Cricetulus griseus: one gene and its partners. The protein of the gene in region 3 interacts with the protein of the main gene of each other region in a biochemical or structural test. Links are inferred from orthologs where the notes say so. Each region holds a gene or a part of one and is shown on either strand. Other genes may lie near its edges.

Region 1 (3,881 bases), on a different chromosome or scaffold from region 3:
ATGCTCTCTGTGGACAAAATGGGTTTCTATGCCATAGTGATACACCCTGAGCTTATTATCCTGAGGTGCTTGGGGCAGCTGAGAAATCCATGCAGTGACACATTTATCTGGGCTCTAGCTTGGCAGGCACCTGCTGCCAGTAGCTCTCATCAGTTGACAGATTTCCATTTCCATTGTGGCATTGGGTTCTTGGGTTACTGAGTTTGCTGTTCCACAAGCATTTTTGTCCCTAGGCATTTGACCAAGCAGTGACCAAGGATACCTGCATGGCTGTTGGCTTCTTCCAGCGGGGAGTGGCTAATTTCCAGCTGGAGAGGTGAGCATAGCAGGATCCCCTGTCCCTTATTGGATGGTTCTTTGTCTCTGCAAAGCAATGCTTGCACCCACTTCCTTCCCTCTCTCCTCTGGATCCCCTCCAGCCTGGATGAGGATGCTCTGGTTAGGCTGGCCCCTGCCCCCCACAGTCCTGTCTCTGTCAAGATTCATGGCTCTAGTAGTGAGAACACTGTGTCTACAGCCAATTTGCAGATGTGAAAACAAGGGCTTATCCAAGGATGTGGATGGCCTCCCAGCTTTCTAAGGGGAGTAGGGGAGGAAGGATAGTCAAGGCTGCAGGCTCCAATTAGCCTAGGAGAACTGACTGAGGACGTGGAGAATCTAGAGGGGGACAGAGATTCCATCCAGAGTTGGAAGCTCAGAGATCAGAGGAGGTCCCATAAGGTTGGGCTTGAGAGGCAAGAAAGGAGAGCCCAGGATGGTGGGAAGAGGTTTGGAAGTGTAAGCAGTGGTCCCCGTCAGGTAAAGAGAGCAATGCCTGGGAGGCTAAGTGGAATTGGACAGTAAACTCCCGTTGAGCATGGTGGTCTGAACTCGTCCCATGGAGTTCTGATTTCTAGGTGACCACTATTGCCTTCAGACCTCCCAACGCTGGCACCGACGGGAGGATGGGTGGGGTACCCCAAAGTCATCCTTCACAGGCTCAGCTCCTCCCTTGTGGCTATTGAGAGGCCCCTGATGCTCACAGGTTCCAGGAAGCTGTGTCTGATTTCCAGCTGACCCTGGCACAGCTGAGGGGCAATGCTGCCATTGACTACACACAACTGGGTCTGCACTTCAAATTGCAAGCCTGGGAGGTGAGTGGGCATTTCATGTGGGCAGAGTTCAGACACCAAGCAGTGTCACTGAGGCTTGGGGTTCTGTTGGGGGATCTAGGGTTCATGGAAGTTCTAAGGTTCTGCCATGGCACTGGGTTGCAATAGAGGTCCTATCATGTAGTCTGGGGTCCTGGCTGGAGTCCTAAGATAAAGTCTAGAGTGTTGCCAAGTGCTGTCACCTTTATGTTGGTGTTACTGGCCATTTCACATGGCCAGCCATGTGAAATGAGGTGTCCTGTCTAGCTAAAGACTTTTGGAGCCCTGAAATCCCCCAGCTCTTTGATTGGAGGCTGGAGTGGCAGTTGTGGGAGCAGACTACTTCCATACTTTGGAGCCAGCCAGCATGGGCTCATGTGGGAGAAAAGCAGGACAGAATTGAAGATCATGACAAGGTGACAGACAAGTTTGGGGGAAGGGGGATTAGCTCAGCAGTACCTGCAGCTGAGCCAGAGGAAACAGTAGGAACAGGGGGGCCATAGAGAGAGTGGGTGTGTTTCTCTCCTTGTAGCAAAGCTGGGTTTCTTGTGTATGTACCTCCCCAGGATGAAGGAACGATGGGCTCCCAGCATCATTGCCTGTCACTGGGGCTGTAGGGTAGCCTTAACTCAGTCCACTTTGCCCATGAGAATGCTCTGAATGTGGGGTTCTGAATGTCCCTGGACAGCCAATGGGAACCCTTAGACATACTCTAGACTCAGTTAATGGGGATGGCAGAGTATAGAATTAGGAGGGCATTAGCCAAGGGAATACGTTGTGAGCCACCATGTGAGAGTTGGGAATCTAACCTAAGTCCTCTGGGAAAAAAAAAAAAAAGCAATGAATGCTCTAACCACTGAGCCATCTCTCCAACCCCCCCCCATGCCCCTGCAGCAGCACAAGGGGACACTTTGAAAGGGAGAGCTACTTCTGCTGTTTCAAGTAGAAAAGCCCAAAGCAAAACATGGCACTGCCAGCGGTAAACGAGATAACAGGGAATGACCATTTGGCATCTGACAACTGAGCCAGCTAGGCAGCAGGTGGCCTGGTCCCTACCTATAGCTCCTATGGCAGCTGAACATACAGAAGAACCTCCAGCTACTGTGACTGGGGAGTTCAGCTGAGGACCATCTTGCGGGCCTGGCCCCTGCTGTCATGTCTGCCCTTGTTCCTAGGTCCTATACAACATGGCATCAGCAGAGTGCCAGGCAGGGCTCTGGGCCAAGGCTGCTGATACTCTAGTGGAGGCAACTTCCAAATGGCCAGAGGGGGCCCAAGGTATCCTGGACACTGCCCTGGACCAAGTGCAGGTGAGGAGGGCAGGTGGCAATCACACTGGTTTGGAGCCAAGTTCTATAGCTTATGCCCTCAAGACTAACTATAGCCGGGCGTTGGTGGCACATGCCTGTAATCCCAGCACTTGGGAGGCAGAGGCAGATGGATCTCTGTGAATTCGAGGCCAGCCTGGTCTACAGAGCCAGTGCCAGGATAGGCTCCAAAGCTACACAGAGAAATCCTGTCTCAAAAAACAAAACAAAAGACTAACTATAGTATAGGGAGAGAAGTAGTCTGGTGCCCCATACTTCCTGTAGCATGTCACATATGATGGGAGCCCAAGCAGCCCCTCTGCTTCAAGACTTGGGGTTGTTGCAGCTGTGGCCACCCAGGTTTACACACTCCACTCCAGAAACAGGTACCCCTGCAGCTAAGGCAAGTCCCCAAGGGTGAAGTCTTCCAGCCTCCCAGGCAATACCTACAGCACCTGAAGCCCATGGATTTCCTCGGCAAGGCTAAGGTAAAGCACTCGGGTGTTTTCTAGCTTGGGTACCCAGCTGCCAAAATGGCAGTTATAGCCTATGTCAAGCACATGGAGTGGTGGCTCCTGCAGTGGACATCCAGTGTGTTTATGAGGACAGTTGGGTGTAGTCTAGGCCACTTGAAAGTCAGACAGGTAGAGAGTGGGCACAAGGCTCCTAGGGCTGGGAGTGGGTGTTCTTACACGAGGCTGTACGCCCCGAGGCAGAACTTACCAAAAGTCAGCTTTAAAGGAGGGCACCCCAGCTTCTGGATGGAAATCCCCAGCGGTGCCCCTCTGACTCCACTCTTCAGTTGCTCCCAGTATCTGTGCATCTTCGTGTATTTCTGTTTCTGCATCTCTGCTACAGACAGCAGGGTCCCAGAAGGGATGTGTATGGCCAGTCTAGGCCATATCAGGCCCTCTAAACCACAGGCTATGGTGGAGTCTCTCACCTCCAAATAGAAGAGAGGAACTCAAGAAAACAGTCACTTGCAGTGTCACAAATACGGGCCAACTTGATATTGTATTATTGGTCCCTGGGCTGGCCGCACACCTATGGTCATTTGCCACAGCACTCACGCTGGACCTATCAACACTATGTGACCACATGTAGCTGCCTGAGGGGCACACTGCCTTTGAATGTCCCCCGAGGTGGACTGAGTATAGGTGGAGAAAACACTGTCCTTGAGAACCCATCAGAGTTCACTTGGACCACTGTTAAAAGATACAAAAAATATTTAAAAAGTTGTACTAAAATTGAGTTATATTAGTAGTATATGTTTCTCTTGGTCATACCTTATTTTTTTAAGCTGTAGTGGTCTAGCAGTCTTGAGCTAGTTGTAGGCAGCCCATACCCTGCAGATTACAGCCATGGAGGTACTGGGAATTGGGGACCTGGAGGAGAAGACTCAATGGGGCCCTAATCCAGCTGTATTCCTGCCCTCACTAGGTGG
Region 2 (3,366 bases), on a different chromosome or scaffold from region 3:
TAGGACCCTGAAAGGGGATGGATAAGGGAGTCCTGAATGTGACTGGTGCTGACCTCCTGACCTTCTGTCTTCCCTCTACATCTAGTGGACAGAAGTACTTGACTACTGTGGTGAAGCTGTTTGGGCCCCTGACGAGAAATTACTATGTCCGGGCTGTCCTCCACTTCTTGTGAGTCCCGCTGACAATGCCCTGGGTAACAGGAGACTAGAAGGAGACACCCCGTGGGTCTGTAGCCTGGACAGGAGTTTAGGGATTAGCCAAGCCTCTTCTTCATTGATGTTTGTCCAGACAGAAAATCCCAGCTTTTAGAGAGGGCAGAAGGTCCTAGACCTGAATCTGCCATCTGTTCTGAGGTGCACACTGAACCTAGCAGTCAAGCTACAGTTGCAATGCTGGGTGGGTCTCCATGGGTCTGTTACACCTGTTGTTGTTCTTGGTCTTTGCTAAGCCTGGACTGGGACACACCCCAGCTCAAGCCTTTTCCCCAACAAGGTAGCTGGGGCTTGAATCAAAGGACACATTACTGTAGAGAACAGTTTATACCAAACCTAAAATGGACCTAGGCAGAGCTGGCCGCTGCTCATTCTAGGGTCCTGGGGACAGAATCTCCCGTTGAGAGCTTGTGGCCTAGAGCTCAAGAGCCCTTCTAACTGTTGTCCATTTGCTTCCTCCTGTTACCCTCAAGGCTGTCAGTGCCTGCAGGCTTCCTTCTGGCCACTATCCTGGGAACAGTTTGCTTGGTCATTGCCAGTGTGATCTACCTTCTGGTAAGTGGCTGCCCTCTGTACAAGCCTCCCCCATCCCCCGCCCCCATGTTCTTGGTGCTCTGGGCCCTCATGACAGCTTCCTTGCTCACTTCAGCTTTGGTTAGTGCACGTCTGGTATATACTGGACACTTCCCAGTTGAAGCTGCATTGTAGCTCTGTCAGGCAGGTGGCTAAAGAGACAGACTCAGAGAGGCAGTGAGGCTGGCCCAGGTCCAACCTCAGTGTGGGCCCATTGCTCATCAAAGCCTACCTGAGTTTGGGGAGCTCATGACACAGAAGCATCTGTCTTATCTGTCTGTCTATCATCTACCTACATACCTATCTATTTGTTTATTTTGAGAAGAAGAGAGGGTCTCCTGTAATCCAGACTGGCCTCAGACTTGCTATGTAGTTGAAGATGACCTTGAACTCCTGGTCCTTTTGCTTCCACCTCTGTTTTTTTTGTTTTTTTTTTTTTTTTTTTTTTTTTTGTTTGGTTTTGGTTTTGTTTTTTCTGTGTAACTTTAGAGTCTGTCCTGGAACTCACTTTGTACATCAGGCTGGCCTCAAACTCACAGAGATCTGACTACTTCTGCCTCTGTCTCTGCCTCCTAAGCACTGGAATTAAAGGCGTGAGCCACCACCATCCGGCTATTGCTTCCACCTCTTAATCTTAATGCTGAATGGCAGGTAGAAGCTACTTCATCTAGCTTAGTTTGTGTTCATTAAAAGTCTCCCCCACCACCAGCACACACACTTTCTGAGGTACTATGGATGTCTTTCTGATTCTCTCCTGCCAGCTCCATTCTTATCTTCTGTATAGAATGTTCTAGCTTATTAGTTAGAAGATGTAGCCTCAGGTGTTTAAAGGTATAGCCACAGGTGTTTGAAGGTGTCAGTGTGCTGCAGAGTTTCTATCTCTCAAGCATTGTGGGCTACTAAATTTATTTATGGCTTTTGTTTTTGTTTTACTTTTTAAAATATTTATTTATTTAGTGTACGATGTTCGGCACCAAATCTCATTACAGATGGTTGTGAGCCACTATGTGGTTGCTGGGAATTCAACTCAGGACCTTTGGAAGAGCAGGCAGTGCTCTTAACCACTGAGCCATCTCTCCAGCCCCTTGTTTTACTTTTTGAGACAGTATTTCTTTGCATAGCCCTGGCTGACCTGGAACTTGCTCTGTAGACCAGGCTGGCCTCTGACTCAGAGAGATCCTCCTGCCTTTACCTCCAGAATACTAGGATTAAAGGTGTGCGCTGCCACCACCGCCACCACCACCCTGTGGGATACTAAATTTACTTGCAATTCCCAGATACCCTAAGTCAGCTGCTGTGGAAGTGCATGTGGCAGGAGGCTAGCAGCACTGTTCCCAGCTTGCATTTTTAGCACCCAGCCCTACACGCTTCCTACAGAATGCTTGACATCCTTGGGGAGGCCTTGTCGAAGGTGGGTGTCTCTTGGAGGGGATTATAGAGTCTGTATCTGGAAGTGTTTCTGGGAGTGTTATAGAAGCCCGGTGGCTCCATGCTCCCTCCACTGCAGGGCCCTCCTGGCATAGCCACATAGCTTGGGTTTGATGTCAGGCAGCCCCAGATCCTGACTGTGTGGCCTTGGGCCAGTCAATTAATGTAAGCCATTGCCATCCTGCTTAGGGATTAAGACCTATGTCCACCTGGAGTCCCCCGTGACAGTAAGCAGCTTGAAGCATAACACAGTCCCTCTCTGCCCCTCAGGCAGCCATCCGGGGTGAGCAGTGGACCCCCATTGAGCCCAAACCCAAGGAGCGGCCACAGGTTGGAGGCACCATCAAGCAGCCACCTACCAATCCCCCACCCCGGCCACCAGTGGAGGCCCGCAAGAAGCCAAGTGTGGATGAAGAGGAGGCAGCCTCAGCTGGAGGCCCCCAGGTCAACCCAATTCCAGTAACAGATGAGGTTGTGTGACCTTCAGTTGCTGTCTGCAGCTCCTGCTTAAGTTTTCCTTGAGTCGCCACCAGGGGGTGGTGATGCCCATTGTAATAAAAAGTGAATAGCTGGTGTGGAGAGTGGTTCTTCCTGTGAGGCTGGGGGAGGGGCTGTGACATGCACCCCATTCTGTGTGGTGACCTGAAGGCCAGTCAGGGAAGGCCTGACAACTGTCCAATGGACCCTGGGTGGACTTATGCTTACAAGTGGGACCCTGAGCCTAGTCCAGGTCTTCCAATAGTGGAAGCCATTGGCTCCCAGTCCCCTGCAAAGGCACCCAATGGGTCTGGAGTACAGGCTGCTATCCTGGTGGCTCCTGGCCCTAGGCTGCAGTCTAGATCTCCAGTTTGGCCTCACAGCCCTGGGTCTGGCTGGGCCATGCTGGGAAGTTTTGTTGTGGCAATGATTGCTTGCCTGTCTTGATGCAGAGGAGTGTTCCTGGGGGTTAACTTCAGGCAGAGATGGTGTCCCCAAGTGGCCAAAGTAATATTGAAGAGTGGAGAGCATAATGTGACCGTGAGGAGCCTATTCTCTGCCTAGGGCAGGAGCTGCCCCTGTAGGAAGATGAAGACGCAGGCCTAATGGCTGTGCATGTCCTGTTGAAGCCCCTCCGCACCCCAGAAGTACTCTCTCAACACGCACACCTTAGGA
Region 3 (4,539 bases):
GTTTCTTGGCACCAGAGGCCTAGTTCAGCAAGAGATACCCTTCATTCCTAACTACCCAGGCTTCAAATAGCAAGTGCAAGTGCCTAATAGGTCCAACCTAGAAATACCTATAAAGAACAGATTAAGTTAAGCCAATGAGTGAACCAAGTTTTTTTTTTTTTTTTTTTTTTTTGTGTGTGTGTGTGTGTGTGTGTGTGTGTGTGAGTGTTGGCTAGACCAGGCTGGCCTCGAACTCACAGAGATCCACCTGTCTCTGCCTCCAGAGTGCTGGGATTAAAGGCATGGGCCACTAACGCCAGACTTTCATTCCCATTTTTAAAATCGGTAACCACACCGAGAGATTAGAGAAGTTAAGCAACATGGAATCTTAGCTAATCTTCCTAAAAATTCTAAGGCTAACAATTCACAGACCTAGGCTCTGAGGAGGAAGGAGAGGGCTCCCATGACCCAACATTCGTTTGAGTGGTCCCTCTTCTAGCAACCTGTCACCTCTGCATCTATTTTTCTAGTCCCCTCTCTATGGCATCCGCCAGGCCCCTTTCAGGGCCTTACTGGCAGAGGTAAGGCACACTTACCTCTTCCTTATGTCTTCCGCACACTCCTTGCAGGGGTAAAACTTGGAAAATATATGTATGAACTGGGCCATATCTCGCTGTTGTTCTGGGGTGGGCATGTCCGGGTAATAGGCGGCCAACGTGTGGAGAAAAGCCCAGGTGTGGCGACCCAATTCCTCCCGATCCTGCGGACAGTCCTCCCTAAACTTGATGTCCCGCTGCAGAAGTAGGCCGACTACGGGTCAGTTCATTCTTCCCCAACCAGAAGCCCACAAAATTCCAACCCAGTGGCAGATTGCTTGTGTTGCACGCCAGAGGCCTTGGGTTCGGATTCCCAGTATCACCAAAAGAATAAAGGAAACAAGAATGCTCCCCTTTACAGTTGGCAGCCTAGTAAACTGATCGGCCAGCCAGTGGCTGAAGGCTCAAAGTCCGACCCTAGGGGTGTGTGTGGGTGAGGGGGTGGACATGTTTAGGCATAGCCAACCCTGAGGAAACCCGGTGTGGGGCGGGGGACCGGGACTGGGCGGTCAGGCGGGGTATCTGCACCTTCTGCTGGGTCCGCATCCACGACTTGAAGTCCACGCAGGCTCGGCACGGCGGCTTCCCGTGCTGCAAACCTTGCGGCCCCGGGGCTGAGGCAGAGGCCGCGGCGTCCCTATGCCCGGTGCGGCGGCCCCGCGCGTCAGTCACCAAGTCGTCTGTCATCTCAGAGCGCGCGCCGCCGGGCAGGAAGGAAAAGAGACTGCTGCGAGAGGCGCCCTCGGGCTCGCTGGGCGCCGCCATCTTGCCGGCGTACAGACGGCGGGGCCAAGAGGGCCTCCAGAAGGCCGGCAGGGCGAGCGCGCACGCCACTGCCAGCGCGCGGCGGCTGGAGCGGGAAAGGCGGCCGGGGGCCGAGCTCACGCTGGGGAAGGAGGCGGAGCCTGGCGGCGGGGCGGGGCTGGGGGTCGAGGCGGCGGCCCGGGTCTCGGCGGAGTCGGAGGCCCCGGCGCCGGAGGAGCCGGAGCGGGAGGCACGGGCCGAGGCGGCATAGGGGGATGCGGCTCGGGCTCTGGTTGTCCGCCGCGGGCCGGGCGTGCGTGGTGCATGGGGGAGCTCGGGTTTCCTCCCGCAGTGTAGTGAGTTGTGGAAGGTGCGCTGCGGCCCCGCTGGGAGGTCGGGCTGAGACGAGGTCTGAGATGCTTCTCTCGTCGCCCCCATCGCTCGGTTCAGACCTTTACCCGCTAGCGGCCAAGGTTGGGGCCTTTCTGGCGTACAACGCGCCCACCTACACGCTTCTGGGTGCTTGGCAACGCGCGGCGGGGCGTGGCCTCACAGAGCAGGCAGCGCCAATGGCCTGGGTCGACTTTTGCCCTAGTTACTGGGCCCCGCAACTTTGGGAGAGGCCTGGGACGCGTCCTATAACATTGGCGGGGGGAGGTTATTATGCCTATTTCAGCCTCAAGAATTCCTTTTTTTTTTTTTTGAGACAAAGTCATGTAACTTGGACTAACTTGGAATTCTGTTACGTAGCTGCCACCTCTTCTAGTACGTGACTTAGAAGCCTGGGCCATCACAGGAAGAATTCTTTTCCCTCTTCCATGTGTTCATTTATTCATTCTGCAAATATTTGTACAGTGGTACTCTGCTCCAAGCGCTGTTTCCGGCACTGAACAGAACAAGGAACAAGCTTCCTTCCCTAGCCTCTTTAGCCTTTGACCAGTAGTGAAGATGGGGAAAACCCAGTCACAGAAATAAATTTTATTTACAAACTGATGAAAGCTGGGTATAGGGTGTGGGAATATAGCGCTCCTAAATTGGAGACCCTTAAGCACAGGCCCCATAAAATGAGAAATCAGCTCAGGCTATCGCATTTTGCAGAAGCACCAAAGGCCACTGGGGGCAGGACTCTGGGAAGGTAGGAGGCCAGGATCCAGAGCTGGGCAATGGCCCACCAACCATGCTAGAAATTGGGATTTGTTCTAAAAGCAGTGGGAGACGTTGGGCAATTTGGGACAAAACTGTCTTGGCCTGATCCCATTTCTACTTTGCAAGATTTCTTCTATTTTTGTTAGAGTGATATTTTTGACAGAGTTTCTCTGTGTAGCCTTGGCTGTTCTGGAATTCGCTCTATAGGCCAGGCTGATCTCAAACTCAATAGATTCTCCTGCCTCTGCTTCCCTCCCGAGGGCTGGGATTAAAGGTGTGCAGAAGCAGATCTCCGTGAGTTCAAGACCAGCCTGGTCTACAGTGTGAGTTCCAGGACAGTCAGAGCTACCCAGAGACCCTGTCTCAAAAAACAAAAGTGTGATCACCACTGCCCAGCTTTTTATTTATTCTTATGTGCACTGGTGTTTTACCTGCATGTATGTCTGTGTGATGTCAGATCCCCTGGAACTGGAGTTACTGACAGTTGTGTGTTGCCATGTGGGTGCTGGGAATTGAACCTGGGTCCTCTGGAGGAACAGCCCAGTGCTCTTATCTGACTCATCTCTCCAGCTGGGTGGATTAAGAGACAGGGAGGAACTTCTTACTAGACAGAGTTGGGGCTCCTCTGTGTACATCTCAGTGAGAGTAAGCAGGTGGGTGATGAGAGGGGCTCACAATTCCTCTAGGTCCCTAGTGGTAGGTACTCAACCCTTTACTACTGCTCTCATCTTCCATTGTCTCTGAAATAGCCTGTATGTAAGAACCAGTTGCTTAAGGAGATGTCAAGGTTTGGCCAAGGAAGGAGGTAGGTTTCATGGCCTAGTTACATGGGTCTCAACCTTAGCTGCTCAGGAGCCTGAGGCAGGAATATCCCAAGTTTAAAGCCAGCCTTTGCAAGTTAGCTAGCAAAACCCTGTCTCAACCCTCTGCCCCCCCCCCAAAAAAAAAAACCTAACTTAAAAGGACCCAGGTGTGAAATACTTGATTCAGATGATAGCAATGTATAGCCCCACAGGCAAATTCAAAAATCAAGCTGTTAGACACACCCTGGGAGTTACAGCAGGGTGGGGGAAGAGGCAGAGGGGGCAGGTGAGGTTGAGGCGGTACTTTAGGAGGAGCTGCCTACCTCCATTGTTCCCTTGGCTGAGGGAGAAAAGGAGCCCCAGGTGGCAGTTCCAGCCCCTTAGAGTTCTGTTTCAGTACAAAGGGCTTCATTTTTTCCTCCTACCTGCCCTGGCTTACCCCTCCCCCTAGCACAGTCCTGCTGTGATGAATTCTCTTAGATTTTGTGCTTGAAGAATAACCAGGAAACTGAAAGGTTTCCAGGTGTGTATGCTCTGCAGGGACAGTTTAGGGCAGTGTTGGGAAATTCCACTTCACTTTTTCCGGCTGCTCAGAGCCCCTACAAGCACCCTGCAGGAGGCCACAACCATGGCGGGTCCTAGACACCCAGTATCAGCGCATGCTGTAGCCCTGGTGCAGATGGAGCGACTTCAGGTAGGACCATACAGCCCCATCCTCCGCTACAAAGAGGCAGAAGGGTAGCTGACAAAATCTTAAGAGAGACGGAAACTCAATCTTCCCTCATAGACATTTGCCTTCTCTGTGCACTGGTCAGACAACAGTGACTCGTCTGTTCGCCGGAGCTGGGATGAGTTTAGGAAGCTCCAGGTAAATAACATGGGACTATTTCAACAGGGTGGCTCATCCTCCAATCCAGAGGCCAATAGCTACATGACCTCCCTTCCTGCCTGTAGCTCTCTCAGGGACTCTTTCCTCCCTTTGGGGGTTCTCTCCACTTTCAGGGACTGACACCCATTTCTTCCCCTCAGAAGATCCTTAAGAAAACCTTCCCAGTGGAGGCGGGCCTGCTCCGGAGATCTGAAAGAGTTCTTCCCAAGCTTCCTGGTCAGGCTTGCAGGGGTCACAGGGGTGGTCACAGGGGTAACAAGTGTGGGTGAGAAGTCCCAGTGTGTTCTTGTGACACCCGGGCAGATGTTCCACTGCTGACACGTCGGGGGCATACTGGCCGAGGTCTGGTACGTTTGCGACTGCTGGACACCTATGTACAGGC

What was found.
Region 1: the proteins of Noxo1 (region 3) and Noxa1 form a complex in vitro, tested with the Homo sapiens proteins (2 studies listed by IntAct). The link is inferred for Cricetulus griseus from reciprocal best matches to the Homo sapiens genes NOXO1 and NOXA1.
Region 2: the proteins of Noxo1 (region 3) and cytochrome b-245 light chain form a complex in vitro, tested with the Homo sapiens proteins (3 studies listed by IntAct). The link is inferred for Cricetulus griseus from reciprocal best matches to the Homo sapiens genes NOXO1 and CYBA.

The regions. Positions count from the first base shown.
Region 1 is NC_048599.1:136,440,101-136,443,981, reverse strand, and holds part of Noxa1 (NADPH oxidase activator 1), read left to right. Parts: intron 1-233; coding exon 234-316; intron 317-1,024; coding exon 1,025-1,133; intron 1,134-2,305; coding exon 2,306-2,440; intron 2,441-2,817; coding exon 2,818-2,925; intron 2,926-3,877; coding exon 3,878-3,881.
Region 2 is NC_048596.1:199,072,350-199,075,715, reverse strand, and holds the end of cytochrome b-245 light chain, read left to right. Parts: intron 1-85; coding exon 86-169; intron 170-686; coding exon 687-768; intron 769-2,484; coding exon 2,485-2,694; 3' UTR 2,695-2,788; downstream 2,789-3,366. UniProt on the Homo sapiens protein: Subunit of NADPH oxidase complexes that is required for the NADPH oxidase activity that generates, in various cell types, superoxide from molecular oxygen utilizing NADPH as an electron donor.
Region 3 is NC_048600.1:44,285,844-44,290,382, forward strand, and holds the start of Noxo1 (NADPH oxidase organizer 1), read left to right. Parts: upstream 1-1,520; 5' UTR 1,521-1,594; coding exon 1,595-1,689; intron 1,690-3,862; coding exon 3,863-3,962; intron 3,963-4,055; coding exon 4,056-4,136; intron 4,137-4,270; coding exon 4,271-4,373; intron 4,374-4,460; coding exon 4,461-4,539. Other genes in the region: Gfer (FAD-linked sulfhydryl oxidase ALR), read right to left, coding at 576-772, 1,104-1,340. UniProt on the Homo sapiens protein: Constitutively potentiates the superoxide-generating activity of NOX1 and NOX3 and is required for the biogenesis of otoconia/otolith, which are crystalline structures of the inner ear involved in the perception of gravity.